4 linked regions of the Tamandua tetradactyla genome follow. The protein of the gene in region 1 purifies or fractionates together with the protein of each later gene. This does not show direct contact. Links are inferred from orthologs where the notes say so. Each region holds a gene or a part of one and is shown in the gene's direction. Other genes may lie near its edges. The genes, in order: SYMPK, CPSF4, CSTF2 and CPSF2.

Evidence for each region.
Region 2: the proteins of SYMPK (region 1) and CPSF4 purify together in Homo sapiens (affinity purification with mass spectrometry; 4 studies listed by BioGRID and IntAct, counting the BioPlex papers as one, with this or other methods). This does not show direct contact. The link is inferred for Tamandua tetradactyla from reciprocal best matches to the Homo sapiens genes SYMPK and CPSF4.
Region 3: the proteins of SYMPK (region 1) and CSTF2 purify together in Homo sapiens (affinity purification with mass spectrometry; 4 studies listed by BioGRID and IntAct, with this or other methods). This does not show direct contact. The link is inferred for Tamandua tetradactyla from reciprocal best matches to the Homo sapiens genes SYMPK and CSTF2.
Region 4: the proteins of SYMPK (region 1) and CPSF2 purify together in Homo sapiens (co-immunoprecipitation; 8 studies listed by BioGRID and IntAct, with this or other methods). This does not show direct contact. The link is inferred for Tamandua tetradactyla from reciprocal best matches to the Homo sapiens genes SYMPK and CPSF2.

Annotation. Positions count from the first base shown.
Region 1 is NC_135342.1:15,201,798-15,209,005, forward strand, and holds the start of SYMPK (symplekin), read left to right. Parts: upstream 1-4,199; 5' UTR 4,200-4,319; intron 4,320-6,502; exon of another isoform or gene 6,503-6,591; intron 6,592-7,208. Other genes in the region: FOXA3 (hepatocyte nuclear factor 3-gamma), read right to left, coding at 3,190-3,258. UniProt on the Homo sapiens protein: Scaffold protein that functions as a component of a multimolecular complex involved in histone mRNA 3'-end processing. Specific component of the tight junction (TJ) plaque, but might not be an exclusively junctional component. May have a house-keeping rule.
Region 2 is NC_135349.1:7,459,571-7,466,602, forward strand, and holds the start of CPSF4 (cleavage and polyadenylation specificity factor subunit 4), read left to right. Parts: upstream 1-4,014; 5' UTR 4,015-4,125; coding exon 4,126-4,228; intron 4,229-7,032. Other genes in the region: PTCD1 (pentatricopeptide repeat-containing protein 1, mitochondrial), read right to left, coding at 1,536-1,997. UniProt on the Homo sapiens protein: Component of the cleavage and polyadenylation specificity factor (CPSF) complex that play a key role in pre-mRNA 3'-end formation, recognizing the AAUAAA signal sequence and interacting with poly(A) polymerase and other factors to bring about cleavage and poly(A) addition.
Region 3 is NC_135353.1:72,974,994-72,982,478, reverse strand, and holds the start of CSTF2 (cleavage stimulation factor subunit 2), read left to right. Parts: upstream 1-4,464; 5' UTR 4,465-4,534; coding exon 4,535-4,592; intron 4,593-5,592; coding exon 5,593-5,671; intron 5,672-6,014; coding exon 6,015-6,184; intron 6,185-6,887; coding exon 6,888-7,024; intron 7,025-7,485. UniProt on the Homo sapiens protein: One of the multiple factors required for polyadenylation and 3'-end cleavage of mammalian pre-mRNAs. This subunit is directly involved in the binding to pre-mRNAs.
Region 4 is NC_135338.1:52,975,878-52,983,032, forward strand, and holds the start of CPSF2 (cleavage and polyadenylation specificity factor subunit 2), read left to right. Parts: upstream 1-4,143; 5' UTR 4,144-4,318; intron 4,319-4,915; exon of another isoform or gene 4,916-6,172; intron 6,173-6,184; exon of another isoform or gene 6,185-6,300; intron 6,301-6,474; 5' UTR 6,475-6,505; coding exon 6,506-6,654; intron 6,655-7,155. UniProt on the Homo sapiens protein: Component of the cleavage and polyadenylation specificity factor (CPSF) complex that play a key role in pre-mRNA 3'-end formation, recognizing the AAUAAA signal sequence and interacting with poly(A) polymerase and other factors to bring about cleavage and poly(A) addition.

The DNA of each region.
Region 1 (7,208 bases):
TGAATCTTAGCACTATAAAGTATAATAGATACTTCTCTCTCTCTCTCTAAATAACCCTCTATATATTCTTTCTTCTTAATCAACAAAGGGTTCTTGGCCACTGCTCTGCCAGTTACTTTGCTGGGGCTGTCTCCTTTAATCTTCCTTATATCTTGAGGGAAGGCTGCTTTTATAATCCCATTTTATAGTTGAGGAAGCTGAGGTCCAGGGGCAGAATTGGGATTCTGAATCTAGGCAGCCTGGTTCCAGAACTTGTGATCTGTATCATGCTATAAAAGCAGTGACCAAGACAGACAGAAATGTCTGCCTTCTTGGAGTTGATAGTCTGGCGGGAAAGACACACTGAATAAGTTAAACCTGGAGAATATGAAGTATCTCACGTGGTGGTTTCTCTCTTTCGGCAGCTATCCACCCCTCTCACCTCCTCCCTTCCATCTACTCTCCCCCCTCCTCCACCTGCATCTTTCTCTGCCCCGCTCCCTTCCCCAGGGAGCCTGGGAGGGAGGTGGTCCCACCACTGGCTGGAGTCCCATGGCACTGGGGTGCTGTGAAATCTCTGGCTGATGCCACCTTTGCTGTGAGACTGTGGATCTCATCTCATCCTCTGCACTGTAAGCATTTGCAGGCCCCCAGGGTCAAAAAGAAAAAAGACTTGCCCAGGACCATTCAGGGAGTCAGAGATAGGTGACACCCAACCCCAGTTGAGAGGAAACCCTCCCTTCTCTCCTTCCCACTTCCAGGTTGCTGTTATCTCTTGTGTTTGTCTGTATGTCTTCCCACTGGGGCGGCTGGTTCTGCCCCCTCCCCAGATTAAGGAAAGAGATGAAAGGAGAAGGTGATGGATTCAATGGGATCAGAAAGTTGGGGAAGGATTCCCAAATGCCTTTCCCACTCTCACTTCTCCCAACTCAGTCGAGCTGTCTGGTATTGCAGAGTAAAACAGAGTAGGACCCCAGGGCACTCCTTTCCTGGCTCCCCACCCAGCCGGAAGTCCTTCTGGAGGTCTGACCTCAAGCACTCCAGCTGCTCTAATCCACCCTAGGCTTTCCCACGCCCCAGGGCAGGGATGAACCCCCAGTGTCCGGGTCTGAGCCGGATCTCCCTGCCACCAGGGCGGGGTTGAGATTGGGGGGAAGCCCTCCGGGGACCTGCACCCCCTCTCCAGGAGGCTGGAATTTCTCACCTTTCATTTCCTTATTGTCTCTGGGGGAGGGTATGACAAAGAGCAGAGGGAGGTAGTGTGAAATCAGAAAGAAGCCTGGTATCCAGCCCCAGTCCTAGCCCTGACATCACAGTATTCCTCTAGGCTTGGGTTTTTCCATCTCTAAAATGGGGGACCAGTTGGACCATCTGATCAGTAAGAACCTGAGGTTAACAGGGATACCCCAGGGTGACAATTGTCCAAGTTCTCTCCTGATGAATGGACAGCCTGGGGTGTCAACATTATCCTAACAAGAGGGTATAGTGCTGGGTGTGTGCAGCTGTTTCTCCACCCCCATGGTTCTGACCCAGAGAAGAACTGGGCTCACCTGATGGAAGGGCTGCAGACACCCACAGACAGTATCCTCCAAACAAATTCCAGGCCCCTGTAAGTCAATTCTTTCAAGATATGCCCTCAAGTGTTGATCTGATTCCTATTTTGAACACCTCTAGACTGTTCTTTGATTTTGGAATCATCTATTGTCCATACACATTGTCCCTTAAACTTGAATCCATTCAGATTGAAGCCCAAATTTTGACTCCTCCGGTCCAGAAACCCATGAGTTTTTTTAAATGTGCCCACAAAACATTTATTTGTAGGTGGTTTCCTTGAACCATGTCCCCAGACTCAGCTCTCCAGGGGTCCAACTGGGATACCCCTTCACTGCACCCCCCTCACACTGTCCAAGAGCCTCCACCTTCCATCCTAGTCTCTGTTTTCCCCATTTCACAACTGACACCTCTGGCCGCCCTGCCTCCCCCTCTCAGCCATCCCAATCCCTTCCCCAGCTGGCCCTTCCTCACCCTGCGTGCACCTCACCCTCCACAGCCCCAGGATTGGGCCCTCCCAGGTCCCTGGCTAACCTTCGCAGGCCAGGGGATCCAGGAATCCCAACCTACAGTGTCAAACTCCAGACCCAGGGATAAGGCACACCAGGGATCCTGTAACCTCAGGTTTCAGCTCTTTCCTTGGAGAAACCAGCCATTCCAACCACATAGTCCCCTTTCAGGTTAGGAACCCAAGACTCCAGACTCCCATAACTCTCACACCACGACCTCCTCCTCCAGACCAAACAATATTGACTATAAAGAAAGTGTGCTAAGGAGTCCTTGAGCAAGTGGAATGGGAGTTCAACTTGGGGAAGGACTTCCTGTCAGCTGGAATCCCCCATCCCCAAATTCATCTCAGAGGTCTTGTCTGAGATGGGACTGGATGAGAACCTTAACAATTGCTGGAGATTGCTGGGGATGGGGGTTTAACCTGAAGGCCCCCAAGAGGGGAGTCCCGGCTGAGGGTGTCTAATAAGAGTTAAAGTACTAAAATTCAGCCAGGACGGGGTGAGGATCATGAAGAGGAATAGGGGGAGGAGACTGTATTTCCCACTACCCCCACTAGTGCTGATGCCCACATCTCCTAGTCTCTAACCTGCCTATTATCTCAGACCCCTCCACATTGAAGCTTCATCTCTGAGTGCCTCCATCTCTTACCCTGGAGCGCCAAGCCCTATACCTGACCCTATCTTAGAGGGCCCAGAACCCCCATCTTTAACACCATATTCTAACCCTCAGCTCATTCCTCACTCCCCTCTCACAGCTGCACTGGCTTCCAGTTCCTTGATGACAACACTTACACTCTTTTAGTCCCTATATTTCCCTCAACTTTGAGCCCCATTTCCAACCTCCCAGCTCTGTCCCCTATCTTAGAGCTCTGATTCCTATTTTGGGTTTGTTGACTTTGGATCCCGAATACCCAGCCCTCACGTTTAAGCTAAGACCAGATCCTTGTCAAACTTTTCTCGACTCCCATTTAAGCCCTCACCCCCCAACTCGCCTGTCCAGACCGTTTACTCACGCTCTGTCCCTGCCTCCCACACCTGGTCTTCGTGTCCCTGGTTCCACGGCTCCCAAACTACATGCCTCGGCCCCCATTTGAGCCCCAACCCGGGTCTCTAACCCTCACTTCCCGCTCCACCATCCCCGAGGACACACCTCGCCCGCCTCGGGGTAGTAGCTCCACTCGGCCAGGTCGTGGGCTTCCATCTTCACCGAGCCCAGCATCCCCGGGGCTTGCGCCCCCACCTGCCCCCGCTCGGGCCCCGGGGAACCGAGAACTTCGGAGCTATCAGCGGATATGGCGGGAGTTCCGACCGGCGCCCGCCCGTCTGACCGCCCGGGGTCCCCGCCGTCCCGAACGCGCCGCTGGAGGTGGCCTCGCTTTATAGCCGGGACAACCCCCCCCCGTACCGCCCCCACCCCCGCCGTTCGCCCGCCCCAGGCTCCCCTCCCGCCTCCCCAGGACGGCGCGCTCGGACTAGGGCGCCCCCTGCGGGATTGAGAGGACCTCAGGCGCCGGGAGCCGCAGCCGGGGGCGCGAGAGCAGGTGAAGGCTGAGGAGTGAGCTACTGGTGACAGGCATTGCTGATAGGAAGGGTCCCGAAGGCAGAACTCTGGGGCCCTACTGCACCAGGGGTTTTCATTATCTCGACATGAAAGGGCGAATAGCCAGAAACTCGCGTGGCAGTCCCGGAGGAAGGGGGCGCAGCGTCCAGGGGTCCCTATATACGATTGTAAGGACCCTTAAGAGTCCTTGAAACCACACTCCCAATGGACGAAGGGTAGATTGGGGCTGCCGACGACTGGAAATGCTCCGGTCTGTGTAAAACGTCCAGGCCAAAGATGGAGGAAATAGGGATCTCTTTTCAAATCCCTCTAGGGCAACAGACCACCTTCAACACCTAGGGAGCTTCGCCTTCGGGGCTCTCCACTCCCCGCGACACTAGCCGTCCAAGGACTCAGGACCACCGTGAACTCCATTTCCCAGAAGCCTCTTCCCCCCTTTCCGCCCCGAGCCTCCGCCACGGGACTACATTTCCCAGAAGGTATGTCTCTCCGAGACAGGAAATGAGGGGCCGTCCCGGCGAATGCCGGAGGGAGGCGGAAGTCCGAGGGCGCCGCACGAGACAGGGGCAGACACGGGCCGCGGTCTGGACTGCATTTCCCGGCGGCCCTGCGTGCGCAGCGCGTGCGCAGTGTCACGGCGGCGAACGGAAGATGGCGGTAGCGAAGTCTGTGTGAGGCGCTGCTGAGGGGCCGCGAGGGGGACTGAGGCCGGAGCCGCGGTGAGCGGGGAACGGCGTGGGGACCCGGGGACGATGGGAGGAGGGACTCTGAGAACACTGGGAGAAGGGCGCAGAGAAGAGAGGGGAGCAGGGCGTCCCGGACCTCAGTATCATCCCCTGCTCAGGACCCTTCCGTGGTTCCCCAGTGCCCTCAGGGCAAAGTTCCAACGTGGCCCCCAAGGAGCGTCCGCTCCGCCAACCGCGCCAGTCTTGTCTCTGCCTCTTTGCTCACTCCCCACGCTTTGAAAGCTGCACTGGCCTGTCGGTTCCTCAAATTTGCTGTGCGCCTCCCTAAGGGTTTTTGCATTTGCTGCCTGTCTGCCCTTAACATCCTTTTACCCATTCATATAAGCTAACTCCCATTCATCCTTCAGCCAACATCACTTCCTCTGAAAAGCCTCCTTTTCTCGCTCCCCGCCCTCCAATCCTGTTAAAGGATCTCATAGGTCCTTGGTCATTTCCTTCATGTCACGTGTGTTATTAGACCTTTATTTAAGTAACTACTGATGATGTTTGTGTCCGTGAGCTCCACGAGGGCAGAGACAGGGTATATTTAGGTCACCCGTGTGTACCCAGCACAGCTCAGGTCGCACGAGAGACGCTGAGTAATGTTTGCTGAATGAATGAAAGATATACCGTGGGCCACTCTGTGGCGTGTACGGGGAAGCCCTCATACTCCCAGATGGGAGTAGGGCAGTGGTACTCGGTGAGGACTGCACTGGAAGGGAGGGGGAAGCAATGATGTGGGTAGAGGAGGAGATTCACTGTGTTCTGCTAGGTGGATGGGTGGCCATGGCCCTGGGTTTTTGTGAGCTGACCTAGGGATGGAGAACCAATTCCTTTCTGAGAGACAGCGCTGATGAGGACGGATTCTGCAGCTACACTGCTGGCTCTTCTTCACTTTACAGGCTGTGTGCCTTTAGTCAAGCGATTTTATCTCCTTGACCTTCAGTTTCCCCATGTGTAGGATGGAGATTAAAATAGAACCTACCACAGAGGGTTGTTTTTTTGTGTGAGGTTTAAACTAATTAACAGACATCACTTCCAACAACTGTTGAAAAATTGGGCCCTGCATGTTAAATGTTCAATAAATAACAGCTGTTACTATTTTTCAAGCGTTCCAGGGCCGAAGGGCAGGGGATGTGAGCCCACTGATTGGGAATACTCTTTGATAGGAGTCAGCATTCACTGAACAGATATTTATTGAGTACTTACTGGATGCCAGGCATTGTTTTACATGCCAGGGATATAGAAAATGAGCAAACCGACCAAAAAGAAAAAAAGTATCTCCAGCCACTTGAATTTCAACAAGCATGCCAAGGACATGCTGTGGGGAAAGAATAGTCTCTTCAACAAATGGTACTGGGAAAACTAGGTGTTCACATTCAGTATAATGAAGTTGGACTCCCTACCTCATGCCTTAGACAAAAACAAATCTAAAATATATCTAGGACCTAAATGTAAGAGCTAAAACCATAAAACTCTTAGAAGATAACATGGGACAAATCTTCCCAACTTTGGATTCCACAGTGGTGTCAGATAGAACACCAAACACACGTGTGACAGAAGAAACAATAATTTTTCATCAAAATGAAAAAATTTTTGCTTCTTAGGACATTGTCAAGAAAGTGAAAAGACATCCTACAGAACAGGAGGAAGTAGTCACAAATATATATGATGAGGACTAAATATCCAGAATATATAAAGAACTCTTACAACTCTACCACAAAAAAAGAGACAAACAGCCCAATTTAAAAATGGACGAAGGACTTATACATTTTACCAAAGAGAATGTAAAAATGGGCAATAAACATGAAAAATGCTGAGCATTTTTAGCTATTAGAGAAATGCAAATCAAAATAGCAACAAGGATGGCTATTACTAAAAATGTGGAAAATAACTTGAGAAATTGTAATCCTAATACATTGTTGGTCGTAGTGTAAAATGGTGCAGCTACTGTGGAAACCAGTATAGCTGTTCCTCAGAAAGCTGAATTAAAATTAACCATATGACTTGGCAATTCCACTCTTAGGTATATACCTGAAAGAATTAAAAGCAGGGATTCAAGCAGGTGTTTCTACACCAGTGTTCATCACATTATTCACAGTGGCCAAAAGGTGGTAGCAATCCAAAGTGTCCATCAGTGGATGAATGGATAATGGAAATCTGATCTCTCCATACAGTGGAATATTATTCAGCTGTAAAAGGAATGAAATTCCAATACATGGCACAACATGGATGAACCTTGAAAATGCCAAATGAAATAAGCAAGGCACGTAAGGACAAATCCTGTATAATTTCATTTATATGAAATATGTAGAAATGGCAAATTCATAGAGACAGAAAGTAGATTAGAAGTTACCAGGGTGTGGAGTGGGGGGCGGTGATGTTTGGAAATTTTGAAAAAATAGAAAAGCCTTTGCCCTCATGGAAGTTTTAAATATGTAGTATATTGATAATAAAGCCTATGGGGAAAAGTAAAGCAACACAGGGAAGTAGGAAAAGTGAACTGAAATTTGAAACAGGGTAGTCAGGGAAGACCTCACTGAAAATATTTGAGTGGAGACCTGAAGAAAATGAGGAAGGGGGTTCGGATCTGGGGGGAGGAGAGTGTTCATGGTATAAGGAAAAGAAGCACCAAGGCATTGAGGAATGGATGTGCTTGGCATGTTCGGGGAATAGCAAGGAGGCGAGAATGGCTGGAGCTGAGAGGACAGAGTGGGAAATGAGGGCAGAGATTGGAGGGACCAGATCATATAAGGTCTTTTAGGTCTTGGTGGGGATTTTGGCTTTGACTCTGAGCAAGATGTGGGGGTGACAGGCAGCAAGGAGGGTAAGGAGGAGGCTGTCATTTTCATTCAGAAAACATCTATTGAATAGCTCATGTCT
Region 2 (7,032 bases), on another chromosome or scaffold:
AACAGAATGGTGTAGCCATGAGATGCAGAGAGTCCACAAGCCAGCAACCTTTGGAGATGAAGAAGGAAATGCCTCCCAGGGAGCTTCACGAAATAGGAAGCCAGAAGAGAAAGCTAGGAGATGATGCCGTATTCACCATGTGCCCTTCCAGCCGAGAGAGAAGCCCTGACTGTGTTCGCCATGTGCCATCTCACTTGAGAGAGAAACCCTGAACTTCATCAGCCTTCTTGAACCAAGGTATCTTTCCCTGGATGCCTTTGATTGGACATTTCTATAGACTTGTTTTAATTGGGACATTTTCTCGGCCTTACATCTGTAAACTAGCAACTCATAAAATTTCCCTTTTTAAAAGCCATTCTGTTTCTGGTATACTGCATTCCAGCAGCTAGCAAACTAGAACAGAGTGCCAGAAGGAGAGTCTTGGGATTCAGTTTTAGACACAATGGCCAAACAACCTTGGCCAAAAGGTAAGATGTGAACAAAGATCTGAAGGAAAGAGGGACTGGCCTGTGGAAAGGCCCTGAGGCAGATGCATGACTAGGAGTTGCAGGAGTAGAGAGGAGCCAGGTGACTGCAGCAGGAAAGAATGGGAGGTGACAAGGGGGAGTGGGTGACAGGGGGAGACCCTGCAGGCAACCCTGGCTTCCCTGTGTTTACTTCCTAACAATTCATTATAGAAAATATCAAATCTACGTAAAAGGAGAGAGAATAACAAACCCACTCCCCACATACACATCACTCAACTACAAAAAAGATTACTGCTCCAGCCAACCTACTTCCATCTACACCCCACACTCTCCCCCAGAGTGGTATTTTTTTTTTATGTCCATAAACTCTTCAAAGTATATCTCTAAGAGATTTTCAAACATCAATGCCACTAACACCACCTAAGAAAATGAACAATGTTATGCCACTGATAAATCATGGGTTTTGGAGAGAGGAGTCATCTGATCCGTTTTATGCTCCCACAGGACAGTTCTATGCTGTGAACTGACCGTGGGGCAGAAGGTGGCAAACGGGCAGCATGGGGACGTGGGGCAGTGACAGGCTGTGATGGCTGAGGAGGGTGAGAAGGCCAAACTTGGGCGCTGAAGGTTGTGAGAAATGGGTTTTCCAGTGACAACTAAGAGGTAGAAAGGGCAAGAGAGAAGAGTTATGGACTACCTAGAGGCATCTGGCCTGATCAAATGGAATAATGGGGTTGCCATTTAGTGAGATGAAGAAAGTGTGTGGGAAAACAAGGTGGAGAACAGAAGTTTGGGGTTTGGATTTAAGCTGCTTACATGGAAAAAGGGTAAGGAAGATAATGCAGCAGCTGGATACACAGAAAGAGTCCAGGGGAAGCCGGGGCTGGAGATACGAATCCAAAAACTGCAATATGGGGGCACATGCGCATCCCCTGGGGTGAGTGAAGACAGAGATGAGTCCTGAAGATGCCAACATTTAGGGACTGGAAGATGGGGTGGCCCCTCTCAAAACACTGAGCAGACAGGGATGCGGGAGCAAGAAGCAACAGAATGCAAAGATCCCCTCACCTTTCCTTCCTTTATCAGGTGTTTGCACTGAAGGAAGTACCAGTAAGGGGTGTTTCTCGGGCGCCACCGTGATTTTGGCCCCAGCTCCCTCTCCTCATCTTCCTCAATGCCCTGTTCCCGGAGGTGTAGGTTGTACAACTCGGCTGTCGATTTGCGGAACATTTTCCGGGAGGAGTATTTGTTGGAGAGGGTCCCAAAGCTCTCCTCCTCCTCTTCCTCCTGAGTGGCTGTGGGGCTGGGCTGGCTCGGGTTAGAGCTGAGGCCGCCCATGTTCTTCTGGCTCCCCTGGCTAAGGGGCAGCTGAGAGGAGCTGTTGAAAGCCACTGGAATCAGCTGAGTGGGCCAGGTAGACCCCTCCCTTCTTTCTGCCCACTTGACTCTGTGAGGGTGGAGATGCTGCCGGACAGCCAGCCGCACAGGGTGGAAACCAGAGAAGTGTCGGGCAAGTCTTACAAGGTCCATCTCTGGCTTTCCCCGTTCTCCAGGCCTGGAAGAGACTGGTAGTCATAAAAGGTAGAATAAAAGAGAAGTGGTTACAAGGGTGGGCTCTGAGGTAAGATATCCTGGGTTCAAGTTTCAGCTCTGTCAAATGACCATCTGTGTGTCCCCAGGCCCTTGCTGCTCTGGCCTCAGTCTCCTCACCTGTAAACTGGGGTTAAATGTCTCCATGCAGGACTGTGGCAATAATTGAATGAGGTCTCCCACACAAGCAATGCTGGCACAGTAAGCACGTGTTAGCTATGAGCTCTTATCATTATCAAATCCCAACATGATCAGCACCATGGGTGCTGAAGTCAGAGTTGAGGAGTGCTGGCTGTGTGACAGGCCAATTACATGACTTTCCTGGGCCTTGATTTCTTCAGCTGTCAGGATTAGATGAGGTGTTTTCAGCATAATGCCTGGTGTTCAATAGGAGCTCAAAAAGTAATAGCTGCTATAATACATTATCAAGAAAAAACTGGTTGGCTCTCTGGGCCTCTGCACAGGGAAGCTAACTCAAGCATTTCCTCTCTACAAAATTCATGGACATACGAGCTAGAGCTGTGCTAACCAGTACAGCAGCCACTGAGCACATGAGATGCAGCTAGTGTGGGTAGAGATGTGCTGTGAGTACAGAATATACACCAGATTTCAAAGACTTGGCACAAAAGAGAATGTGAGATACACCCACAGATAACTTTCACTTGTCAAAATGACAATGTTTTGGATATGCTGGATTAAGTAAACTACATTATTGACATTAATTTCACGGATTCCTTTTACTTTAATGTAGCAACTTAAAATTATGTTTCTATCAAACAGTGATGGGCTAGAAATTCCAGCCTGAACACTTTAAATCTCTTCAATGAAAAATATCACAACTAGCATGAACATATTTTAAGGTCTGGTTATATTAGAAAGTCAATGTTAGAAAGAACTGATGGCAGAGTAAACAGATTAAGAATTGAGACCCACAGATAGTGTGACTGCCTGGGGTCCCACAGCTGTGTAGGAAGCCAGCTGGGCCCCAATCCAGGCTAGCTTTGAATCCAGGTGCATATAATGTATTAGACCACCTCTCTTAACCACTTGCAAGGACGTTAACTTGCCATCTAGTGAGGCCTGAGTCACCTCAGTAGCATGTGTTTACAAGTGTTAATTAAAATACACAGTTTCCAAAAAAAAGACAATGATATCAAATTAGTATCAAACGTCCTAAAAAAAAAAATAAGCTTTTGGTAAATATATTGGTAAATAAGCTTTTTTTTTAACGGGTTAAATAACTAGATCTATTGAAATTTTCAGGGTACTGATGAGGGTAAACAGTAGCTGGAGATATCTACAACTGCAAGGTGATAGGAAAAGCCCTGGCCTTTCTAATTTTAACCATGTCTCAAGCACTGCTCAGACTACTGTGATTTGCTGCCTCCAACTATGCAAGGAAACACTCAACTTCATATGGAGAAAGTAAAAGAGTAATTTCCTTCCTATTTAAGTCCTAATACCTGCACTGGAGACGCGGTGCCGCGGCCCTGCCTCCCTGGGACTCTCAGGCCACACGACCCCTTTCCTACTGGCCTTTACGCCCGGGTCTGCTGGTCGGGCGGCCCCGGCTCCGACGCTCGCTGCCCGTCTCCGCCCCGGCCCCGAGCTTCGGTGAGATTCAAGTAGGAGCTCACAGGAAGAGCACGCCGCGTCGCGCTCAGTACAAGGTGCCCGGGCCCCGCGTGGCCGCGGCCGCGAACCTGACCCTCTTTCGCGGTCACGGTCCCCGAGGCGAGCGCCTCAGCCGGGCCTCGCGCAGGCGCAGCCGCGTTGCGAACTCCCACCGCGCGCGTGGTTTCGCGTTCCCGGCGCCCGCGTGGCGAGGCGCGAGTTCGGCTGGCTGCTAGCCGGGCCCACAGAGCGACCAGAGTTCCGCGCTCGATTGGCCGGGTCTGGGCAGGCGAAAGGGCCGGCGCGGGCTCCGGGCGCTCCCGGCATCCCTCGGGCGGCGGCGGCGGCGGCGGCGGCGTAGAGGAGGAGCGTGTGCGGAGGGACCGGCGGCAGGTAGAGGGGAGAGGGGGCGAGAGACCTGAGGGGGTCCCGGGCCGGGAGGGCCGCCGCCGCCATGCAGGAAATCATCGCCAGCGTGGACCACATCAAGTTCGACTTGGAGATCGCGGTGGAGCAGCAGCTCGGGGCGCAGCCGCTGCCCTTCCCCGGCATGGACAGTGAGTGCGGGGCCCGGGCCGGGGCCGGCGGGCGAGAACGACTGGGACCCAGGACCCCGCTCCCTCGGCCCAGGGAGCCCCTCCCCCTTGGACCGGGGACTCTTCCCCTGCTCCGGTCGCGGAAACCCACTCGGACCCGGGAGTCCCCCTTCCTCGGGCCTTCCATCCCCCTGTGCTATTCTAATTTTCAAGAAGTTAGAATCTTGCTGGTCTGTTCAAGTAATTCTTGAATGAAGACGGGTTCCCCTGGCTTGGAAGTCCCTCCAGTGTTCCCTGAACTACTGGAAAGTACTAGGATATCGCCCTTCTCCCGCCCCCCATGCCTAGCGCCCTCTTCTTGCTTTTCCTCAGAACTGTGGGCTGTTAGTGAGGAAAGAACCACCTCACCCTCTCCTACAGACAGACGCCCCCCAAACAGTCTCTATTCTACGGCTCGCACTCCTGGGAACGCATCTCTAGTTCTGGGCCTGCCTCTGTCTTTCCTCTGGACCCCAACTCTGGGTCATTCATCCCTCCCAGGCGCCTGGTATGGATTGCACTCTCTGCCTGGTTAGTCTGAGTTGGCTTCCCCTTCACGTGCTGATTCCAGACTCTCCCAAATGCCACCACCCCGCCCTCTCAGGTGGGATATCTTGCACTGTAAAAGAAATTGACAATTCCTTCCTATCTTTTCCCCTTTCTAGACAGTTTGGAAATGTAATGCTAGGGTTTTTCGAGGTCACTGAGCTCAGTCAACAGATGGGGAACCAGATGGGGAGAGGGACTTACCCAAGACCCCTCAGTGCATTGCAGTTAGGGGAGCTCTCCAGTGTTCTTAACCTGTTCTTTCTGCAGTAGCCCAAGCTGTCTCCCTTAACTGCCAGAGGACTGCAGCCTGTATTCACCAACTTGTCCCCAGGCCATAGGGGTCCCTGCAGTCTCACTCCCTTCATGTGGCCACGCCTTCTCACGCCCACTCGGAACAGAAGGTGACCTCTGAGTTAGAGACCCCCGTGCTGCTATTTCTATGCAAGATAGTATTTCTACCCAAGACACCTATGTCAGACAGCTCCATTTTATATGCACACAAATCCTCTCACTGCTGAACACCTCTTACAAGCAGCCACTCAAATGCAAATACACACTCTTAACCTGCCCTTTGATACATGTGATCACTTTGTGCTTGCACATGCATATTCACTCTTGCACACACTGCCTTTTCCTGTCTTAATGGCACTAGCTTGAAACTATGGAACCACCCATGAGGGACAGCTCTTTCCCTCCCACCCTAGCACTATGGACCCATGAGCCTGTGAGCACAGCACAGTGGCGAGTTACCTATATATCTGTCCTTAGGTGTTGCCCCAGTCCGGGTTCTCACACTCACTGCTTTTACAGGATCGTCCTCAGTGTGTTAAAGTGCCGTGTAAACACCCAATGAGGCCACAGCCCTTCTTCACTCCACCCTGCATGTCATTCCCATCTCAGTTTTGAGAACTGTCAGTTCTGCCTTAAGGTTGTCCCACTGTCTCTAAGTCCCCAAAACTGTAGATTTCTGGCTTTAAGGACCAAGCACCCTTAACCTTTGAAGAGAACAATAGGCCCAGAAATACTCTGTTCTAGTTTGCTAGCTGCCGGAATGCAATATACCAGAAATGGAATGGCTTTTAAAAAGGGGAATTTAATAAGTTGCTAGTTTACAGTTTCAAGGCTGAGATAATGTCCCAGTTAAAGCAAGTCTATAGAAATGTCCAATCAAAGGCATCCAGGGAAAGATGCCTTGGTTCAAGAAGGCTGATGAAGTTCAGAGTTTCTCAAGTGAGAAGGCACATGGCGAACACAGTCAGTGCTTCTCTCTCAGCTGGTAGGGCACATGGCGAACACTGCGTCATCTGCTAGCTTTCTCTCCTGGCTTCCTGTTTCATGAAGCTCCCCGGGAGGCATTTTCCTTCTTCATCTCCAAAGGTTGCTGGCTGGTGGACTCTCTGCTTCTCATGGCTATGTCATTCTCAGCTCTTTCAGAAATTTCTTTCTCCAAAATGTTTCCTCTTTTATAGGATTCTAGTAAACTAATCAAGACCCACCCAAATGGGTGGAGACATGCCTCCACCTAATCCAGCTAAACAACCACTCTTGATTAAATCACATCTCCGGGGGGGATGATCTAATTACAGTTTCAAACATACAGTGCTGAACAGGGATTAGAAGAAACGGCTGCCTTTACAAAATGGAATTCGGATTAAAACAGGGCTTTTCTAGGGTACATACATTCTTTCAAACCAGCACATAGTCTTAACTGAGACATTTTTAAATGTCATACTTTTCAGACTCTTTTTGAAAGGCAAATGAAGTGACTTCCCATGCCTCCCAGTTTCTGCAACCTTAAGTCTGTCCCAGGAAAATCTGCATGCTTCCAAGGAAGCCAAGAGATCCATTGTAAATTAGGGAGGAAAGACACAGAAGTGGGCTTCAGTGATGCTGTCAGTGGGTTTTCAGCAATTCAAGAATGCTGGCTGATAGAGAAAGTGCTTTAAGAAGCCAAGGCTGGTTTATTCCGGTAGCTGTGGTTGGCAAATTCCTGGGCTCATCAGAAGTGTTGGGTCCTGGAGTTCGCTGACTTCCATCCCACTCTGCCTTTGTTCTCTGCTCCCCTCTCCTGATCTGACTGCATTTATGGAAATGAAGGACTGTGTGCCTTTAATAATCACGTTTATGATGCATATAAAAGCAGTCCTGCTTTTGGAACACCCCCACTTCTGCTTTGGAGCTGTCCCTGCTCAGAGTCCTCATTCACTTGTCTGTCTTTCCTATGAGATCATTCTCTC
Region 3 (7,485 bases), on another chromosome or scaffold:
AAGAGAAACCACACAATTCAAAACTCCAAGCCAATTGGGAGTCTTTATTAGCCGGCCGGCGACTGCCTCAGAAACCGCCAAGAAAGAAGATTCAGAGAGCAGCCGCCCAGAGGTTTTCAAGGTGTGCTTATAAAGGCTAAAGTCATGTTGTGGTTTGCAGTTGCTGGCAAGGAAGTGTAATCACAGAAGCAGAAAAATGCCATTAGCTGTTGCCAAAATACATCCCGTGCCCTCAGTTTCCTAACATTGGTCATTGTTTAATTCTTGGGGACATTCCATCCCAGATCTTTGAGGACTTTTCCTGCTCGGGCCTGAATGATTGCTCCTGGCCCTCCACAATCTCCTCTACCCAGAAGAAAGAACCTGAGTCTCTGTACCCTCAAAATTTTGAAGTCTTTGCTTGTTTCTTTATCCAAGATTATCAATACCAAGACTGAGTAAGAATTCAGGACTTTTCCTCAAAACTTTATTCCAATGCCACACAAATCTTGTCTATGGTTTCCCAAATCCTTTCATTCTCCACTAAGTACCCATTCTCTTCTGCTCAAAGCCCCCAAATAACATCCATTCTATATATTTAGTCCCATTTATGTAGAAATGTATCTTTCTTAGTTTCCCTGTACCTCTTTATACTGCACTTGTACTGTTGTACTGAGGCTCAGTCATAATACTTACAATCACATCCAGTGTACTACCTTCAGTTTTCATTTTTCTATAACCTGGAGGCAAAAGAAATGCTGTCACTCAGGGAGCATCTTGATGAAGGGAGAAAACTCTCATAGACAGGCACTGAGGTCATGAGCACAAGGCCTGTAAGTGAACGAAAAATTAAAAAAGCAAAAGCCTGCAATATATCCTTTGCACACACCACCTCTTCTATAACTAAAAGAATGGGGTTGGTTACTGAAGAGAAAGAACCAATAGTCCATTCTTCACAGATGGCTGATAATAGCAGAACAAACCCTGCTCAAGTGTCTTGACCTTTCCTTGGATGGGTCTTTATTGTGAGCCACCAACCCACCATCACCAGGTCATATGCTCTAATCTCTTTCCCCAAAACAGTAATATGTTAAACTATCCATATTGTCATGCTGGGAGGCAATAGATACAGCAGTTAAACATTCAGTCTCTGGAGCCAGAGCAACTTGAGTTCAAATCATGCCTTAGCTACTTATTGTGGGACCTATTGCAAGTTGCTTAATCTTCTATAATTATAAATAGTCTATCAATAAAATGCTGTGATAGGCAGAATTCCAAGATGGTCCCCCAGAATTCCTGGCTCGCTGGTGTAAATGCTCTATAAAATTACTATGACTGCAAATACGAAGATTTTACTTTCCTGGTTAGGTTATGTTACATAGCACAGCTGACCTCAATACAGGGAGATTATCAAGGTGAGCCTGATCCTATCAAAAGCCCTTTCAAAGCAGAGTTTTCTCTGACTGGCCATAGAAGTCAGATTCAAAGTACTAAAAGGATTTGACAGCCATTGCTAGCTCTGAAATGCAGACGCTCACATACAAAGACCAAAAACAGGCTCTAGGAGCTAGCTGAGGCAGCATGGAAACAAGGACCTCAGTCCTACAACTACAAAGATTTGAATTCTGTGAACAACAAAGAGCTTGGAAGCTGATTCTTCCTGAGAGTTCAAATAAGAGCCCTACATCTTTTTTTGTTTTGTTTTGTTTTGTTGTTGCTGTGGTTTTATTAATAAAACCAATCAACATACAATATGAACATTCTGTTTTTCATCACATAGTTGTATATTCATCATTATGATCATTTCTCAGAACATTTGCATCACTTCAGAAAAAGAAATAAAAAGAAAACAAAGAAATTCATACATATCTTACCCCTTACCCCTTCCTTTCATTGATCACTAGCATTTCAATCTAAATATATTTTAACATTTGTTCCCCCTATTATTCATCTTTATTCCGTATGTTTTACTCATCTGTTGATAAGGTAGATAAAAGAAGCATCAGACACAAGGTTTTCACAATCACACAGTCACATTGCAAAAGCTATATCACTGTACAATCATCTTCAAGAAACATGGCTATTGGAACACAGCTCTACATTTTCAGGCAGTTTTCTCCAGCCTCTCTGTTACACCTTAACTAAAAAGGTGATATCTATTTAATGCATAAGAATAACCTCCAGGATAATATCTCGACTCTGTTTGTAATCTCTCAGCTGTTGATGCTTTATTTTGTCTCATTTCACTCTTCTCCCTTTTGGTCAAGAAGATTTTCTCAATCCCTTGATGCTGAGTTCCAGCTCATTCTAGGATTTCCGTCCCACGTTACCAGGAAGGTTTACACCCCTGGGAGTCATGTTCCACCTAGAGAGGAGGGGGGCAGTGAGCTTGCTTGTGGTGTTGGCTGAAAGAGGCCACAACTGAGCAACAAAAGAGGTTCTCTTGGGGGTGACTCTTAGGTTTAATTTTAAGTAGGCTTAGCCTATCCTTTGCGTGGTTAAGTTTCATATGAACAAACCCCAGGATTGGGGAGAGCCTTACATTTTGACTTCAACCTTCTGAGACCCTAAACAGCGAACCCAGTCAAGCCTAAACGGACTTCTAACATACAAAACTATGAGCTAACAAATGAGCGTTATTTTAAGCAGCTAAATTTGTGGTACTTTGTAACACAACAATAGAAAACCAATACAATAGAGACATAGCAAATGCTCAATAAATGTTCATTTTTTTACTACGGATTCATTGGGATCAGTCACAGAGCCGTGAGAAGACTAAAATGTAAGTTATCTATGCAAGACTGGCAATCCAGAGGCCATTTAGTCTCATATTGCTGATACTAACAAGGGTACTAAAATTGCACTGTTTCTCAAGCGGAGAAACGTTATTAGCATTTAGTGGAGAGAGGGATTCACTGTATAGAACTGCTCTGGATATTGCAATATATTTATGACCTCTGGCTGCTTTCTCCCTCCAAAAAAGCGTCCCCCCACTAACGGCAATAACTAAAAACATTCCCATACATTTCCAAATACCCTCCCCAACAAGGGATGGTTCTGGGTCTACTACTGCAGAAAATTTTATAACAAAGCACAACTGTCATAAATGTTGCCATAAAAGTAGTACCTCAATATACAATGTTGCACAAATTGTCTGACCCTAAGAATCACCCGGGGTACTTGTTTTAAAATAAGGTTCCTCCCTGTAATCTTATTCCACAGGTTTGGGGTGGAGCCCTAGGAATCTCTATTCTTAGTAAAGCACCCCAGGTAAATCTTTTTCATGGATGTTTGGGAAACACTAGATTAGAAATATATTCTGCCATAAATGCATTTTTCAAAACTTTAGCACACTAGGAAAATTGACTCACTCCAAGGCTCTTTAAATCTGTCTTTTACAGAGCTGTAAACCTAGTTTTGGATTATTCTATTACAAAGGTGTTCTCTTGGTCACACAAAATTGAAAATGGGACCCAAAGTTATGGAAGTGGGAGAACTCTTCCAAAACTTTCTAAATTTATCAGAATCGCTACTTGAAACGACGCGGTAAATGGTGTGAAGGCGCACTTTTCCAACTATTTCTCTTCCTTCAAGCAAGGACCTACACACATACACAAACACTCCTAATATATGTTATTAATTTTAAAAGCATATGTCTCAAATTCTGTAGATATTTTACCAGCTCTCCCTTCCTTTTCTGAGACAGAAAATTCATCAAAGCAATCTTGACTCCTTCCTTTTTTTCTCTCCTAACTCCATTCTCTTCAGTTACCCTCCTGTGGATTTCCTCCGACCCAGACAGGTTTTGTCTTCCTGTGGGGTGGCAACGACTAGTCCTGCAAGCCATATTTCAGGAGTTTTCGGGAACCAGAGATCAGCCAGTGATGTTTTCCGTTCTGTTTCCAAAACTCTACTGCCAAAGTCCTTCGCCTGCCCCCACCCCCCATCAAGCACGTGGAGCTACGAGAGCGCAGACTGTTCTCACTTCACCTTCCCATCTCCTGATCTATCCTGGTGCCCTGACGGTGAATGCCCTTGATTCTCATTTTCTTGCCGGACAAAACTATCTCTCCTCACCTCACTGCAGATACAGCTTCAGCAAAATCACAGTGTGCCTGCCGCTGAGGCGGGAGCAAACATTTCCTTCTCTCAATCAGGCGGAACTAAAATGAAATTTCCCTGGTATTGGCAAAGGACTTCCCTGACACCGTGGTAAAGCCGCTGACGCCATTTTTATTGCGGGCAAAGATTACTTGCGTCAGCGAAGGAGAAAATTAATAATAACAGGAACTTCTACGAACTAAAAGCCTTCAAATTAGCCTGGATCCGGCTCAGAAGGGAGTTATTACTAGGCGACAGTCTTCGCGGAGGGAGTTTTGCTCTTGTAGGCTTAACACGCTCCTACGGCGACGAAACGTCGCACAGGGAAGGGATCTTGCCTGCATCCGGCCTAGGCGCTTCCGGTTCTTGCGCCGTACGGAAGCATAGTCAACTCTGAGTTCACGCGCCGTACGGAAGTGTGCTGCAGCGCACCGGAAGCCGCCGGAAGAGAGCCATGGCGGGTTTGACTGTACGAGATCCTGCGGTGGACCGTTCGCTACGTTCTGTGTTTGGTGAGGGAATTCATTGGAGCCAGGCATCGGGGAGGTGCAGAAAGTGGCAGAGGGCGGCGAGGAACACCCCCAGCACCTCATGAATCGCCGCAAGAGCCGGTGATGGGTCGGTCATAGAGCTCCACCTGTCCCTGTGGGACGGCAAACCTGGTGGACTCGTGGGCAGAGATGCTCCTCTTTCCCCGAGGTCCCGCAACCTTTCTGCGATGTTGTTAGATGAGCGTTGAGCTTCTGTGCGTTTCTCCTTTAATGAACTTAAATTATTTATCTAGAAGCGAGGATGCATAGCGACAGTCTCATTGTCCAATACTACTTCTCATCCCCTATCCCAGAATACACATTACATGCTGAGTGGTATCCCTATGTCCACTTCCCGCCTTCTCATAAGGGCTTTCATCCTCCGCTTCTAACGATAACATTTTAGTTCATCGATGGTGGTAGCGGCCACCTGGCGTCTTGAGGCGGACTATAAATGAATGAATGAACGAGTAAGAGCTCAAAGAGGATCGAATGTATTCTGAGAAATTTTTTCGGCCGAAATAAGTCTTTCTTCAAAGTTATGAGTGGTGATTTTAAAGCACCTTTTGAAAGAGTGGCGAAACAGTTCAGAATAATGTTTAAACATTTTTGGTCATTCTCCCGTGTGTTTATGAATGTGGAAATACGAACAGTTGAGCCTGTTTGAAAAAATATAATATTGATATTTTTAGTAGCTATTGGGTGGGGGATCAGATTGCAGACCTTCAGGTAAACACTTATGCTAAGTATTTTCACCAAAGTTAAGGAAATTTTAAAACTTGTCAGATCAGTTAGAACTAATACTTAGGAGTACCTACACCTTTTGTATTTAGTGTCCTTAGCGATTTTTTTTACCTTGTCAAGAGTACGTGGTACTGGAATTTGGGGAACACTGTATTCATTGAAGTAGATTCTTTATAGTGTTTACTTTCTCACTAACTATCATGGTTACAAAGATAGAATTTTAATCTTTCTTTCTTAGTGGGAAACATTCCTTATGAAGCCACTGAAGAGCAGTTAAAGGACATCTTTTCTGAGGTTGGACCTGTTGTTAGTTTCAGGTGAGGGCCCCTTTTATTTCTTGGTGGGAAGGTTCTTAAAAATTGCCACAAATTTCACCCTTAGAAAAAATGGCAAGTTGTTTTACTGGTGACTTTTCATGTGTATTTTTTCTGTTAACAGCTTTATTGATATAATTAATATACCATGTAATTTGATGCATGCTTTCCTAAAAGATATGTGTATTTTTTAATTTAAAAAGAAAGTTAAAAAAGATTTCAGTGAAGCAAAGTCAGAATTATTAAATTTTATCCTTTAGTGAGCCAAATTAGAACATGAAAATGTTAGCAAGAACCCTGTATGTGTACATAACATGTGTGTTCAATACTTGGTTCTGCTCTCTAGGTTGGTATATGATAGGGAAACAGGAAAACCAAAGGGTTATGGCTTCTGTGAATACCAAGACCAGGAGACAGCCCTTAGTGCGATGCGGAACCTGAATGGACGTGAGTTCAGTGGAAGAGCACTTCGAGTGGACAATGCTGCTAGTGAGAAGAACAAGGAAGAGCTAAAGAGTGAGTATAAACCCAAGTTGTATGCAGGATGAGTTTATAAGATATTACAATGAAGATTTTTCTGTTTATGGTATATTCTAGAATATGCTGAAATGGTTAGCCACACAGTTTCTTTACTTGATCAATCTGAGATACCTAAATTAGGGATGTGTGTATCTTTGAGAAACAAGCTAAAGTTGACTTTGGAAGTCCTTCAGTTGCCAAGGAGTTGATTTCCAGTTGAAGATGAATTTAATTCAGGCACACTAAGCCATCAGTAGTGCTAACCATGTTGTTAGTGCTTGCTACTCCTTATTACCATGTTGCCAAATCTGTAATTGATGGGGTACTAAGGCATTTTTATGGCTTTTTTCATGAAGTGATAGATGCAGAAATTCCATTTTGAAATGAGCATCTTTTTCTGTTTAAACCTTTTGCCTCTGAAATGTTCTGTCAAAAGAAGTTGATATGCCTAGGTTCCTAACCTAGGTTAACATTGTCTGTCTTTGTGATCCTGTTCTCAGCTTTCCTCTGAGAGCAGAAAATACACTTTGTCACTTTCTCCATAGAAATAAGAGACTTGCAAATTAACTATTTCTCAGCTCTAGAGAATGTTAAAGTTATTGAATAGTCCTTACAGCAGCCCTGGAATGTAGATATTTGAAATGATTTAGCCCTTTATTTTGTCTCTTTAACTTTCTCCTTGTACTTTCTTCCTCATCAGGCCTTGGCACTGGTGCTCCTGTCATTGAGTCACCTTATGGAGAGACCATCAGTCCTGAAGATGCTCCTGAGTCCATTAGCAAAGCAGTTGCCAGTCTTCCACCAGAACAGATGTTTGAGCTGATGAAACAAATGAAGGTGGGAGGAGGCAATAGGTTATGAATAAATCAGATCCTCTCAGATTTTTAAGGAGTAATTAATAAACTTAGTGGAAATGATTCCCACATCTTAAAAGAATATAACTTATGAGAAGAGCTTAATTGAACACCGTAAGTACATGGAACCTTGAGTAGGGCATGACATTTTGTAGGTTTGTCCAGAGTGATGCCCCGATAAAGCCCAGAGTGATTTGAACAGTGAATAAAGAAGTATTTGCCAAGTCCCCTTGGGGGAATGGTGAGAAAGGGGGAAAATTCAACTTCCCCAAGTGGAGAATTCTTAATATTCTCACAAGCAGTGAGGACAACCAAAGCAATAGGCTGAGCCCCCAATCTTGGGGTTTGTTCGTATGAAATTTAACCCCGCAAAGGATAGGCTAAGCCTACTTAAAATTAGGCCTAAGAGTCACCCCCAAGAGAACCTCTTCCGTTGCTCAGATG
Region 4 (7,155 bases), on another chromosome or scaffold:
GCCCTACTTATTCAGTCAGTAAAGAGGAAATTTTTCCACGTATGCCAATATTTTTGCAGTATAGATATTTATATCATCAAATCTGTGTAGATATAATCTAAATTTTATTAACTCTAATGTGTCAATGCAATTACCTTAATTTAGAATTTGGAATCTCTGCTTTATATATTAGGTAGGCTCTTTATTACTATCTCTTGAATTGAAAACACATTCCCATATAGGGTCAAGTAACCGTTGTGTAGTAAGGTACTTAAAAATGGAAAGGACACACAGCCTAGTTGTGCTGGTTTGAAAGGATATATGCCCCTTAAGAAAAGCCATGTTTTAATATAAATCCCATTTCATAAAGGTAGAATAATCTCTATTCAATACTGTATGTTTGAAACTGTAATGAGATCATCTCCCTGGTTGATGTGATTTAGTCAAGAATGGTTGTTAAACTGGATTAAGGGATGACATGTCTCCACCCATTTGAGTGGGTCTTGATTAGTTTCTGAAGTCCTATAAAAGAGGAAACATTTTGGAGAAACAGATTCAGAGAAATTCAGAGAGAGCAGAGAATGCTGCAGCACCACCAAGCAGAGTCCACCAGCCAGCGACCCTTCGAGATGAAGAAGGACAACACCTCCCGGGGAGGTTCATGAAACAGGAAGCCAGGAGACAAAGCTAGCAGATGATGCTGCATTCGCCATGTGCCCTTTCAGCCAAGAGAGAAGCCCTGACTGTGTTCGCCATGTGCTGTCTCACTTGAGAGAGAAACCCTGAACTTCACTGGCCTTCTTGAACCAAGGTATCTTTCCCTGGATGCCCTTGATTGGACATTTCTATAGACTTGTTTTAATTGGGACATTTTCTCGGCCTTAGAATTGTAAACTAGCAACTTATTAAATTCCCCTTTTTAAAAGCCATTGTTTCTGGTATATTGCATTCCAGCAGCTAGCAAACTAGAACACTAGTTTTACCACAATCTTTAGAATCTGGAAATTTGGGACAGATGTATTTCCATTCCATTTTAACAATATTCCTTCTATTATACTACCTTGAATTTTGCATGTGTGAATATACTAAGATAAGTTGCAATAAAAAAGACTTGATTGAGCAAAAACAAACAAAAAAATGGTTAGGACTCAGTGTGCTGGGGAATATAGCTGAAATTCCTGCCTCTCTCTTCTAAAAGAGTGGTTTTTAAATAATTTTTTTTTTTTTTACATGGGCAGGCACTGGGAATCAAACCCGGGTCCTCTGGCATGGCAGGCAAGCATTCTTGCCTGCTGAGCTACCGTGGCCCGCCCTCTAAATAATTTTAATTCTTTCGTTTCTTAAACTTCAATCAAACACTCTTTATATACCAGGCCATGAAGTTAAAAGTCACACAATCACTATATATTATACGAAGTGTATTTCTAATTATTTCCTGGATGACTGAAGCAAATAGTTCTTCGACAATATCTATGCTATCTTATTTCCCACAAGATGGTGGTTCTTTCAGCTTTGTGCCTTTGTTAAGTAGCATTATTTACATTTAGATCTTTAAGTACTTTTTGTGACTACTGACCAAGTGCCTACCAATTGCTTACTGTCTCAGACACTTACATGCTTTATGAATTCTGAGACAGTCAAATATGGGGATAACATGTACCACCTTAATCAAGTAATATAAAGTAACTTTGAAAGTGATAAACTGCAAATTACTAAAAAATAGTATAGGCCTTTACAGAGGCTGAGTAGCCATCTATTCTGTTTCATCTGTATCAGGCTCTTCAACTTTCTTAGGAGATGTCTGTTCCACCTTATGTCTGGCTGACAACCAACCACAAAAACATACTTGCTGACCCCAAGCCCAAGACTGTTTCAAATAATCCCATGGCCACCTGTGGGCTATGAGCCATTAGCGTTGGCATTCTTCCAACAAGGCCAGCGCTAAGGAGTTGGTTTTGTCTAACCCTACCCTGAACAGAAGAGATTAGAGACACTTCTGCATATAGGCTCTTATAAAAAGCAAAGGTAGAATCAGAATCCAAACCTGGTCTCAACCAACACCAAGAAGCATAATTCCACCCCTAAGAAATAAATGACAACTCTTAGTCCCACAGGCATTTCACACTATCATTGTACAATCCATCATTTAGTGGACTTTGGAAGCAGTGGTACAACTTACACTGTATTTTTACTGACAGTGGGTGACCTGGGAGGACAAAGATTTATGGATATAAGAAGTGCGGTAGAATGATTTCCGAGAATGGACAGAAGGATAGAAGGGCTCTCAGGCTCTTGGGGATAAGTCATTGGCCCCAAAACATAGGTGAGTTTTATCTGATAAGAAAGGGCAGTGAGGACTAGGGTCAGGCTTCAGTCAAATGAGCCTAAGTTTTGGATGAAAGAAGAGTGTGCAGGAGGCACTTAAGGAAGGAGTAAAGACCAGTTGCTCTAGACATGGGTGTCCACAAGAGAGATGTACATGCACTTTTACTAATTTGCAACCTGCCATTCTGTCACATATCTACATTAAGATATAACGTCAGACACAGGCCTATGTAACTCCTTTTATTTATCCTTAAAGATGCTATTAAGGCCAATGTACAATACATTAATGTCTTCTTTACATGAGGACCCTCAAGAAAGATTGTGCTTTCACTTCAGAAATGGGAGAACAGGTTTTTACCTTATGGACTCTAGGAATCATGTTAACTGATCAAGATCGGAAATGTTTCTGCTGTCCTCTAACAACAGCTGAGTTTTTTATAGCACCCTCTTATCCAGCACCCTATTGCTTTTCATAAACATCCATTAATTTAATCCTCACAACACTATGTATGTGTTAACCAATATAACATCCCCAATGCATTTTTTTTTTCAGATGCGGAAATCCAGGGATAATTATGATAAAGTCATTTGTCCAGTTTCAAAGATATGGTAAACGGAAGAGATAGCATTAGTAACCAGGCAGTCTGGCTCTCTGGTCCGAGCAATTTTCTTGTGCTTTACTGCCTCTCATAGTAAGTCCATAGTAAACATTTATATTAACCTCACTATTGGCTTTATATTTTTTCCCCTAATATTACTTATTCTTCAACCCAATTTATTCCAGTTAGGTCCTAAAACGATTCTTTATATCTGCTATTATTTTTGTAAGTCACTCCGAGTTCACGTTTGAAAGATATAATTATATTTAAATACTTAAAAAAATTCTTTCTAATTGGTCTCCATGGCTCTTTATATGCACTGTCCCAAAAATGCCGATTTAACCTATAAAGAAACAATGCTGGATGCACGAAGGATCAAACTCCTTGAGGTATACACATCCTAAAAACCATGCACAAATAAAATATTGTATTGTTTTGTCTTGTTTTTAAGCAAAAGAGTACATATCTTGCGGAACGGTCGGCGCAGGAGGGCTTGAGATTTAGAAGAATGAAGTTAGCTTCCAATCCTAACTAATGAGGACACGGAATGCTGAATCTTGGACGAATCTGAAATGCTCGCGGATAAGCAGCCCCATGCATCCCTTCCTGAGTCTCGGTTTCCTCCCAGTCCGGTGAGGGGCAGTCACCGGGTATCTCGAAAGACTTTTTGCAATTATGGCAGCCTCAGATACCTTTTCCTGACAGTTCCAGGAGGGAAAGGTGAACCCAGTAGTCCACCAGAAGAAAACGCTAGTTCCCTCTCCTCTTTCCCGGCTCCCACGCTCGAAGGCCTCTGGAAGTTCGGCCGCTTCAGCCCCGGGGCGATCTATCACCAGATCCATCACCGCCGAGGGCTTTTATAGAGATGAACCCCGTACCCCACCTCCACACCCGCCTGCACAACTTGACCCGGCGGGCCTCAGCGCCCTGAACCCCAGAACTCACCAGCCGCCGCGGAGCCAACCACGACCCCACGACCAAGGACAGCTGTGAGCTCAGCCACCGGCGCCGACGGAAGCTGCGGCCTCGGGACTCGTCAGGAAGAGAGGGGTGACGCCGGGAAGTCGTACGTCTTTCTTTTAATATGTGAATCTTCTCGTTCTTGTTTTAGCTCGAAAACGACATAAATGTTTTTAAAATAAAACGTCAGTCCAAGGTGAGGAGACTTGTGCGTGGAAATGCCATCTCCTTCCCTCAGCTTCGTGTTCCTTGTCCCCAGAAGATGGTATCACCCTGGGTCTTCTCCGCCTTGGCGGGTCGCCTGTAGTTTCAAAATGGCGGCCTCCACTGCGGGTCTTCTGCCTGCCGATCGTCGCGGGTACTGCTGAGTGAACGTCAATTTTCCTCGCTCTTGAACCGGGACTCGACGAGGGGTTGGGAAGGGCAGTGGACGGCGTTGGGGGAGGACTGATGAGGCAAGTGGGGGCGGAAGAAAAGAGTGAGCCCCTGGATGGGGGAGGGGGCTTCCTAGGAGTTCAGGAAGAGCCTGGCTCCAACACAGACACAGCCTCCTCTCCTGGGGACAAGCTCTGGGGTTTCGTTGTGCCGGTCTTGGTCGTTCCTGGCCGAAATGCTCAGCGAGGGAAAGAAAAACGTCTTCTTCATGGGTCTAAAATTCTTGGCTCTTTTGGCAATCTGTACGGTTCACTCCCATGCTCCTTTCCTCCTTGCTGTATTCCTCTCCCCTTTCATTCTGTTGGCACTGGAGGAGTTAATCTGACTCCAGCTTTAGTTCCTACGTCTCTTGGCTGCGTTTTTCTCCATGTCCCTTTTAGCCTCCTCGCCCGAAGTCGCCCGTCGACACCGGTTGAAAGACCGCGAATCTACTAAGCACTGGGCACAAAGTAGGCGTCTTTGTAGTTAATTGACTCCAAAGACCTTTAGGATGTTATCACGCTTTGTTAAAAAAGTCTTTCTCCTCCCCCCGCCCCCGCGTCCTGTCTCCCTAGCCCCCAAGCCCTTCCACCATCACTGCAGTTTCACCAGATCTCATTCTCTTTGACTTTATGCTATTTTATATGCTCTGCAGAAAACCGGAGGTCTGACTGGATGTAAACCTTGGCAGGTCTGGCCTGTGACCGGGCGAACCCGAGTTATCACTTGCCCGTACTCTATAATGCTTTTATTTTACAACCCCTTTGGCTCTGTTATGAAACCTCTGCTCCCCTGAAACTAGTCAGTAATAGACTTTGGCACCTAGTTAGTTCCAGTGCTTTCCCAGACTCCGTTTTTACCTAGATTTTGCCTAGTTTTCTTTACTTTGTCATCAACAAGCATGATCATTGCTGAGAGAGCCAGTAACTGTGACAAATATTTGAAATGAAGTAGTGTTGGTCAAAATCACTGCCCTGAAGGAATTTGAGCACTGTGTTTGGTCTTGAAATGGCATACAAAGATTAACTATAATACGTGCTTTTATATTGTCAATTTCTAGTCAACAGTTTTCTGTGTGTATGTGCCCACTTTGTGCGAGGCAAAAATAACTAGCTTTGGGGACACTGAAAAAAGTTTTAAAAGGAGTTAATATTTGAACTGGGTCATGAAAGGTCAAAAGAAATTTGCTAAGCTCAAGAGGCGGTCATGAAGAGGTGACAAATACACAGATGCAGACTTGAGAAGTTTTGGTGTACATAGGGAGAGTGAGAAAATAAATGTGCTTAAGCACACAGGGCAGGGATTGTAGGTGAAGCAAAGGATAGATTGAGATAAACTTGTGAAGGGGCTTGATTTCCCACTAAGGGGTTTACATTTCATTCAGTAGTCAACAGGAAAGCCATTGGTTATTTTGTGCAAAGTGGGGGCATGAGAATATTTGATTCTTAGGATGGTCTTTCTGACTGCTGTTATCGAGGATCAACTTGGAACATGAAAACTAGATGAGGAAATTAAAATCATTCAGGTAAGGTAATGAGTGTCTTGATTGAGGTAGGACAGTAAGGATGTAAAACATTTCTGAAATGTCAACAAGTATTCAACTAGTGATGACCAAATTGATGATAGGAGAGCAATTCCAGAATTTTAGTCTGGGAGACTAAATGGGTACTGATACTGTTAAAATCAAGTGTAAGCCGTGTGTTAAAATAGAATGGTGCCAACCTGCACTTAGGAGTGACAGCATAGAGCTCTAAAATCTAAAGCATTGATTTTAGAATCTAGAGTCTAGCTTAAATGATCTAGTCTCTGTTCTAGCTCTTCATACATTATATCAAAGCTTCCAACATTACTTTTACGTATGCATTACTTATCTGGTTTTTAGACCAAATATATAGGTGAGAAAAGGTTAATTAACTTGTCTTAAACCACAACAGAGTAAATTCAACTCTGTATCTCTGATTCCCAAGTCCACTTAATTTACACTAAACCACACCAGGAGCCAAAAAAGAACATATCAACAAAGGTATGTTTGCATTTTAAAGTTAGCAATGATGGCAATTGGACTTTAAAATGTTTGTTTTCTATGTTGATGGGATTTTTGTGCACTTAAAAACCTGATCTAATTTTTGTTCACTGTCTATTATATATATTCAGTTGCATTCTTATGCTTAATTTTAGTTTCTTTTTCTTTTAAAAGAACCTTTTAGATTGTTGCTAGTGGACAAAAAATGACATCTATTATCAAATTAACTACCCTCTCTGGGGTCCAAGAAGAATCAGCTCTTTGCTATCTTCTCCAAGTTGATGAATTTAGATTTTTACTGGACTGTGGTTGGGATGAACACTTTTCTATGGATATTATAGATTCCCTGAGGAAGTAAGTTACTTTTACTGTTCATATTTCTGGACTTTTAAATTAACTTCTCTTATCTATACTGCAGTACTAATTTGAAGTTACGATGTTTGCTTTTCTACTATGATTTATTTTATTTATAATAAAGGACTTAATTTTCTTATGTTGAAGTGAACATTTTAATTTCCAAAGTTTTGTGTGACTTACTAAGTGTGTTTATTGAAATTCAGCAGAATCTTAAGATAATTGTTATTTGGCTGATGGATCACTCAGTAAAAATTCTGCGTGCTAATTTTAGATAAGAGCAAGAGTTTGAGGAGAGGAAAAGCTTTCCATGTGAAAATTCTGCAGTCAGATCACATTTAACCTATTTTCTATATCTTTTGATGCTAGAATTGGTGGTCAGAATGCCTTGTGAGATGCAAAAGGATCCTAATTCATCAAATAAAATTTCATTTATGTTCCCATTATTATGTTAATTACAGAAGGAAAGAGGACTTAAACATTTTTAAAAGCTTAGAACTT